Linked DNA regions of Caenorhabditis elegans. The protein of the gene in region 1 interacts with the protein of each later gene in a pairwise test. Each region holds a gene or a part of one and is shown on either strand. Other genes may lie near its edges. The genes, in order: txdc-9 and T20F5.6.

Region 1 (3,792 bases):
TAAAAACTGGTTCATTGAATGCCATGTCTCGCTTCAAAATTCTTCCACTGATGGTTCTGATCCAAATGTACCAGGAAGCTGGACGAGGAGAATATGCGACAGCTGAAAATTTGATACGTTTTGTATTTAAAATTTAATAGTAAGAAAAAATTACCGATTGGACCTGAGAATTGGCAAGCCGTAAAGTAAACGACATATTTGAGATTTAACGAGTTTGTTCGTAGATACTCTTGTGTGAAACTGAAACCGAAGTGTTCGAAAAGTTTCGAAGTTTGGGAAGCCCGTGTAATGCCGAAAAATTTAAACTTACTACAGCTGTTGATCTCCCAAAAACACTGAACTACTCGGACGAAGACACAACTCTCCATCTAGTTTTGGTTTTGATGGAGCATGAGACTCCCCCATTTCTGGAAATACATTATCTTAATATCTAAAATACTTATTTTACATTAAAAATAATTCTGGATATTAACCGAACGGCTATTTTTCATTTTTCAAAGGATAATATGCTCTTTATTTGCGATTACGAAATTGTGAAAAAGGTAGATAAAACAGCAAACACGGGAGGAGGAAAGCGAAAAAATGGGAAATTATGTGAGATCAAAATGCACATAATTATCAGCAAATGAGAATATGAAAACAAGAAAAAATCATCTTAAGATGGCATCTACCAATCCTCTTCGTTATCGTACTCCTCAACTCCTGATCTAATGATTTTCTTTTTTGCAGGAGCTGTATGCTTCTTCTCGACAGTCAATACTTCAGATCGAGCCAATCGGTTTTCCATGGTCTCGGTGGTAAACTCATCTTTTCCTCCCAATTCATCAAATCCACGAATGTAATCGACGGTTTGTTGCTTCTAAATTTATTTTTTTTTAACTAAATAATCTGGTACAGATGCCAACAAAACTCTATGAAACTAGTCAGATTTGAATTATACAACTTCAGAAAAAAAAATACTATAGCAGGAACCACATTCAAACTTACCACGACGATAGCGATGCTTGGAATGACACGAATATTGAGACGAGTTGTCAGGAAATGAACCTTCTCGGCGTTGACATGTATGAATCGTGTTCCAACATGCTTTCTAGCCAAGATCTCGAAATGCTTATCCACAATTTTGCATCGGAAGTTTCCAGGTAAGTAGAAAAGACAGACAACTTTATCGCTTTTCTTTGTAGCTTCGAAGAACTCCTTCTCGTCAGCAACTTCCTCGTATTTTCCGTGCCCATGAGACAACATCTCAATTCTGTCTTTTTGAGCTTTCTTCATTTGTTCCATCCGTTGACGACGAATTACCTCAAGATCGTCTTCTTCTAGGTTCTCAAGTCTAAAAACACACATGACAAACAGTTTCTACATTTCAAAATTACTTATTCATCTCCTGGTCGATCTGTTCCTCGACAACTTGAGCTGCTCGTAAAAGCTGCTCCCCAAACTGCTGTTGAATATTAGCGGCCATTTTCTGAAAAATTTAACAGAATTAAATTCAAAATTTAGGAAATTGGAAAGGGAAGACGGCATAATAAGAGCGGAATAAGAGGCATATGACCACCTGGAATTCTAATTACACCCTTTTTATGCCTGAAGGACCATAAAAATCGATAATGAGAAGCTACGAGAATGTTTGGAAATTCCATGAATTTATTCCAAACAATTATTTCTAGCTGTTCAGTAGAGCACACTTGTATGCTTGCACGAAACTGTGCAAACACCATCACGTCAGAATGCACACACACTTGGCAACAATTTTAATTAAATTTTATTCTTAATTTTCAGTTTTTTCGGTTCAGTTTGTATTTAAAAATAATTATTTTGATTTAATTCTTCTATTATTTATTGTGTTTCAGATGCCGAAGACCTCTGTGTGGAAAACGCGCGTTGGAACGCAAATTTTGATGGGTAAAATCACCGACATCACTCAAATTGGAATTGATAGAATTCCATGTGCTCAAGTTGGTTCAATTCTTGAAGACTTTTCGAAGTGTATTGTATTATTTTAGGTAAGATGTCAGATGAACGAATTCAACATCTATCTGAAGAAATATTTCGCCCGATCGTTCGACTTCTGGGCTCTCGACAAGTGAGTTTAAAAATAAGTTGTTTAAAATACCTGTTTTAGAATTACTGCATTTTCTCTGAACTGAATTTATCAATGTGAGAATTACATTTCAAAATTGAAAACATTTTAGAACATCACTTGGAAACATCGGAGATACAGTGCTCATCAAGCAGATCGATGGTTCTTCCCGCCCAAAGGCCAACGTCTCTCATGCTGTTGACCGTGTAGTGTTTAAATTCGGAAACATTGTCGATCCAGTCACAGGACGCAAAATATTCAACGACACATTCGCCGATGAGATTGATTTGAAGAAGGTTTTAGTGGAAGAAGTTGTGGATAAACCATTAGAAGAAGAATCAATGCTATTTGAAGAGAGAAGAGCCCTACAGATCAGAAGATTAGAACAGGAAAAAGAGGCAAATGTGTAGTTTTTGAATGTTCTGAATTTAGACGTTTGATCTGTTTTTACTTTTTGGGAATAGTTAGTTCGTTGTTGTTTATTGTTTGTCGATATTTACATTCAAAAATGAAATGTTTCTTTAAATTTTATTTTTAAAACTTTATACTTCAAGGTTGACTTGATCCTTGTATATTTTTCCAAATTATTTTTTATAATTTTATAACTACAAGTAAATTCAAATTCAAGATGGACATCTCACGTCCGGTGGTTGAGAAACCTATGTTTATAGAAGTCGAAAAGTTCGTGGAAGCTCGAACAAATTCCATTGCACAGCTACTAAAGGTAATTTTTACAACTATAATCTTCAATTCTTCCAAATTTAATTTTCAGGCTATTGACAATGACGCCCTTGTGTCTGGTGAAGTCACAAAAGGTCCAAGAACTGCTGCTCAAAGATTGCCACGTCACATGAGAAGAAGAGCGATGGCATACGATATTCGTCGATTTCCAAGAACAATGAGAGAGTTTGCAGCAGCACATTTAATTTCAAAACATGCTAAAAAGTGTCCAAGTCGGTTTGCGAGACGAAAAAGTGCAAATTCTCGAACAGTAAGAACCCAAATTAACTAAATACTAAATTGCTCGTTTTTTTCCAGAAATTTGGCAGAAGCACCAGTACAAAAGGTATCTGGCTCTCGACACATGTTTGGCATGCGAAAAGATTTCGAATGATTCAAAAATGGGGTTTCAAACTCGCGGATCGCAGCTTTCAACGTGGATTTCGAGCAGTTTTAAGAGATTCTAACAAGAATTGTGTGATTCGAGATAGATCATATTATACATGTGTTACTGTAAGTATTGAAACCAAAGAAAACATTAAGTATTTAGACGTCTAGATTTTTTTCCTCTTAACATTTAACATAAAATTTAGAAAAAAATCTAACATTTTCGTTTTCCCTATATTTCCAATAAAAATTTCGATTTTTCGAAATATAGCTTTAAATTTTCCTCATTTTTCTTTTCTTTTTTAAGACTTTTTTTCATTTTTTATCAACAGTAAACAAAATTTGGTAAAAATTGAAATGTTTCCGATACTTCCATTTTCCATAAAATCAGATGACATCTTTGTTTGAAATAGTCCGAATTCGGATTTTATTTTTCCACTTTTAGTATGCTTACTATTCAAAATCTAAAATGCTTACTATTCAAAATCTAAATTTTCAGATTCAATGCACCGATGCTTATTCAAAAATCTCCCAGTTCTCACAAAAAGGATGTCGAGGGCAGTCATCACGCGATGAAGAAGAGGTAATCATTGAGAGGGAGA
Region 2 (3,924 bases), on another chromosome or scaffold:
CAAGAATGACCTGAACGTATATATTTTTTGCGTTTTCTAGATATACGCCATTTGTGGCATTTTTCCGCGAAAAAATTTGAATTAATGTTCAATTTTCGATTTTTTTTTTGGCTATTTATTTCCGGATATCAAGTTTTTTACCAAAAAATATCTCAAAAATTACAAATTATTTTTTTAATGGAAAAAAAAACCAAAGGCCATTTTCTGAGGAATTCAAAAATAATTCAGCCATTCAGAATTTTTTTTTGCAAAATTTTTTCTAAAAACCATAAAAATTCAGAAAATTTCTATGTTTTTCTATAATTTAAACGTTTTTAACATCATAAGCCTCCGTTAAATATAAACTTACAATTTTGTCTACATTCTTCAATTCTTCCTCGGAAATCTCTTTCTGGCACGTTTCGTCTGAGCATGTTGTAGCTCTGAAATTTTTCATATAAATTAAAAACCGATTTTTTTCAAAGAATCTTACTCAATAGCGCTCACTGTCGTGTGACACTCGGTACATTTCACAGCTTCCGGCTCTTTTGTTGATTTCTCCTGCTGTCTTTGCTCTAACAATGCTGAAAAAAAATCGATTTTTTGTTTTTTTTAAGGGATTTGGCTTCAAAAAATTTCAAAATAGTCTCAAATTCCAACTTTTTTCGTTTTTCAGAACTACTTTCGATTTTTGAAGCCAAATTTTAAAATAAAATCTCACATTGAATGCAGAAATTAGTTGGAATCTTATCGGCCGGGGTGGTTAAGCTGTAGCGAGTATTTTGTCGGCACGATGGACAGATGACTGTGTTTCCGCCGAGAAAAGTTCTGGTGTTGAGAAGTTTTTTGATACATTGGAGACAAATCGTGTGACCGCATGGAAACACTTTTGGAATACGCTTGCCGGTGTCTGAAAATTTACATTTTAGCGGGATTAAAGGGATTTTAATTTAATAAAATTTAAAAATCGACTTAAAATTAGAAAAACCATAAAACAAAATTTACGATTTTTTCAATTTTGACCAAATTTGCTCCAAATTGAGGCAAAATTGAATTTTTCATTCTTCTGCGATTTCTACCGTTTTTTTTCTGGTTTTTCTGAAGTCAAGGCTAATTTTAAATGTTTTTCAACAAATAACTACTAACTAAACGGGTCATAACAGATTCCGCACGACAATCCTTTCATTTCGGTGCCCTTCGACGTTAAAATTGTATCGTCCGCCTCATCCTCCTTTTCTTTTTCATTTTCTGCCTTCGGAACGTCAGGCGTGGCAACTGCTTCCGGCTGAGGTTGATTATCTTCCCGGTCTAAAACATTTTCAGCTCCAGCTGCTGGCTCATCGTTATTTGCATCATCTACTGGATCATCGACGTTGATAGCTGCATCTATTCCTCCAAACGGATGAGCAAAATCGTCCATCTGGGCCATATCTCGGAACTCTTCCACTGCAATAAAAAATATTATTTATTGATTAAAATAAAGGACGAGTGGGAGGCAATTCTACAAAATTACCTATTGCACTATTATTATTTTAACATTTTTCATTAAAAATAGCGTTAAAATAGAAAATCACTTGATGTAATTGAAAATAACACCTGAACATTCGAAAACGTGTGGAAAAATGAAGCTCAAGTTTTATAATTCGATAATCGACAATTGACACCTTTCAGGCCATTTTTAAGCACTTTCTCAAATGCTTCAGCTGAAATAAAGGTTATTTTCAGATAAATTGAGAGATTTTCCATATTTTGACACTTATTTTAAGTGAAAAATGTTGCAACAACGTGGCGCAACAGGTATTGATCGCTGGAAACTGAATTTCAAAATTTTTCGTATTCAGTAACTTACTGTCGTCTTGCAATTGTCTTTGCAGGTCACGGAGTCGAACATTCAAACCATCAATGTCGAACGGATCCATTTGAGAAATTAAAACGGTGTATTTTTGAAGGAAATAACTCTGAAAAACTTGAAAGAAATGTAATTTCAAAAGAAAATCAGTAGGACATTAAAGGGAGCGGACACGCTTGTGCGAAATGGTTTCGCAGCGGAGTAAAAGTTTGTGGTCGTTTTTCGTCATGTACCTTTAAAATCACAGTACTAATGCCGACTCATTTTTATAAACATCGAAAAAAGGCAAATTTACCTAGAATTCTGATACAGTAGTGAATACAAATATAACGGAGTCACGACAGAATACGTGAGAAACCAGAAAATAAATTTAAAAAAAGGTAAATGAATGCATTTATAAAATTGGGTTCTCAAAGACTATCCGATTCGAATATTCGAGCAATAAATAAAAGAGCACGAAAACGAAACGAAACGAGAAAAAAACATTTGGGGAATGGAACAGTAATAAATAAAAATAGAAAAATGATACGGAAGAGAACACGTGGAATCAAAAAAACATTCAAATTAATCAGGATAAAAGAAAGAGCTGAGGGGGGACGGGGAGGAGGTGGGAGAGACCAAGAATGTGTGGAGGAGAAAAGAAACTTAATATAAAATGTGAAATATTTTCATGCAGATCATTTTGTATGAGGTTAAAACTTCTAATTTTGAGAACTAATAGCGGATGAGAATTATGAAAAGCCCGAATATTTATTTTCTAGTCATCTCTTCGAGAAGGTTATTCTATTTTCTCGTACGGCGACGCTTTGGAAGTGGCTCCGGCTCGATAACTTGGACTTCATCTTCGGCTGAAGTGCCTGGACAACTGTCGGTAAACTCTTTGAGACGTTTTGCAGATGGTTTTGTCATACATCCTTCGAACACTGAAATATTGATTTTTTCAAATTGAAAATATAGATTTAAAGGGGGATTTTTCGATTTTTTTTTTGGGAAAATAAAATTAGATGTTTTTAAAGAAAAATAATATTTTCAGAAGCCCTTCGAAGGATTACATTTTTTAATTTTTTTTTCGAATAAAATGTTTCGGCATTTTTTTAAATATTAACCCGAAAATGGCTAATTTTATAGCAAAAGTTTTCAACTAAAAATCTCAAACATTTTAATAGCGGATAAAAATTTCGAAAAAGGGTTAATTTCAGCTAAAATGAAAGCTGATTGGTCAATTTTTCCGTTCTTTTTGCATATTTTTTTCGCTTTTTGTGGCGAATTTTTGGAAAATAGCTTTGAAAAATTTAGAAAAAAATTCGACTTTTTTAAAAATTTGATTTAAAAATTTTAATTGTTTTTTAACTTCTAAACAATTTTTTTTTTGATTTTTCAAAAAAAAAGGAAGAAAAAAAATGTGATTTTCTTCTAAAAAGCTATTTTTCGAACAATCTAAAATCTGGAATTTTTTAATCGAAAATGTTTGTTTTTCGATATTCTACTATTTTTCGACGACACCGCCCTTGAGGCTCAGTCTTAAAAAACTATACCAACCTCCAAATCCATTCTTCGGAACTTCTTCTTTCTGCACCAGCTCCATCTTAAGTGATCCAGATTCCTCGCTTACTTTCAGCTCAAATGTCTTATGAAACTCCAGCTCTTCGAGTTTAACCGGTGGCTTTGTGCACTTGATAGCAGATTGACCAGCTGCCATGCTGTTAACCTTCGCAAACTTTTCAGTCCCGCCACGTGTGCGACCCTCATCATACACAACTTGTGGCATCAGAACTCCCGTCTCAATACTAATTCCATTTTCAGTAATAAACTTCATAACTTCTGCTGGTGATCCCGTCAGTCCAGCAACAACAATATGAGTATTTCCTTCGGAATCCTTACGAAGATACAATTCAGGTCCTTCAAGATCTTTTTTCGATGCAACATGAATCTCCATTCGGTTACTTCGAGCCATTTTGAGAGTGAGCACTTGATCTGGTTTTTTCGGTTTTCCACCCTTCGCCTTTTTCTCTCGTTCGAATTTCTCCTTCTCGGCAAGATATCCCATCAGTTGGAAGTTCGTGTTACATGATTCTGCCACCGGTCTTTTAGTGAAT

What was found.
Region 2: the proteins of txdc-9 (region 1) and T20F5.6 interact in a two-hybrid assay, tested with the Caenorhabditis elegans proteins (one large-scale study listed by BioGRID).

The regions. Positions count from the first base shown.
Region 1 is NC_003281.10:6,429,854-6,433,645, reverse strand, and holds txdc-9 (Thioredoxin domain-containing protein 9), read right to left. Parts: upstream 1,469-3,792; 5' UTR 1,466-1,468; coding exon 1,377-1,465; intron 1,334-1,376; coding exon 988-1,333; intron 860-987; coding exon 668-859; 3' UTR 501-667; downstream 1-500. Other genes in the region: vps-16 (Vacuolar protein sorting-associated protein 16 homolog), read right to left, coding at 1-102, 155-240, 311-405; mrps-17 (Small ribosomal subunit protein uS17m), read left to right, coding at 1,854-1,958, 2,007-2,086, 2,196-2,493; Ribonucleases P/MRP protein subunit popl-1, read left to right, coding at 2,745-2,807, 2,856-3,074, 3,122-3,316, 3,690-3,773. UniProt on the Caenorhabditis elegans protein: Required for normal microtubule organization and function. Regulates tubulin acetylation in ALM and PLM neurons.
Region 2 is NC_003279.8:3,923,226-3,927,149, forward strand, and holds the start of T20F5.6 (RING-type domain-containing protein), read right to left. Parts: upstream 1,938-3,924; 5' UTR 1,899-1,937; coding exon 1,829-1,898; intron 1,426-1,828; coding exon 1,126-1,425; intron 890-1,125; coding exon 701-889; intron 564-700; coding exon 473-563; intron 423-472; coding exon 350-422; intron 1-349. Other genes in the region: T20F5.7 (RING-type domain-containing protein), read right to left, coding at 2,612-2,751, 3,368-3,924.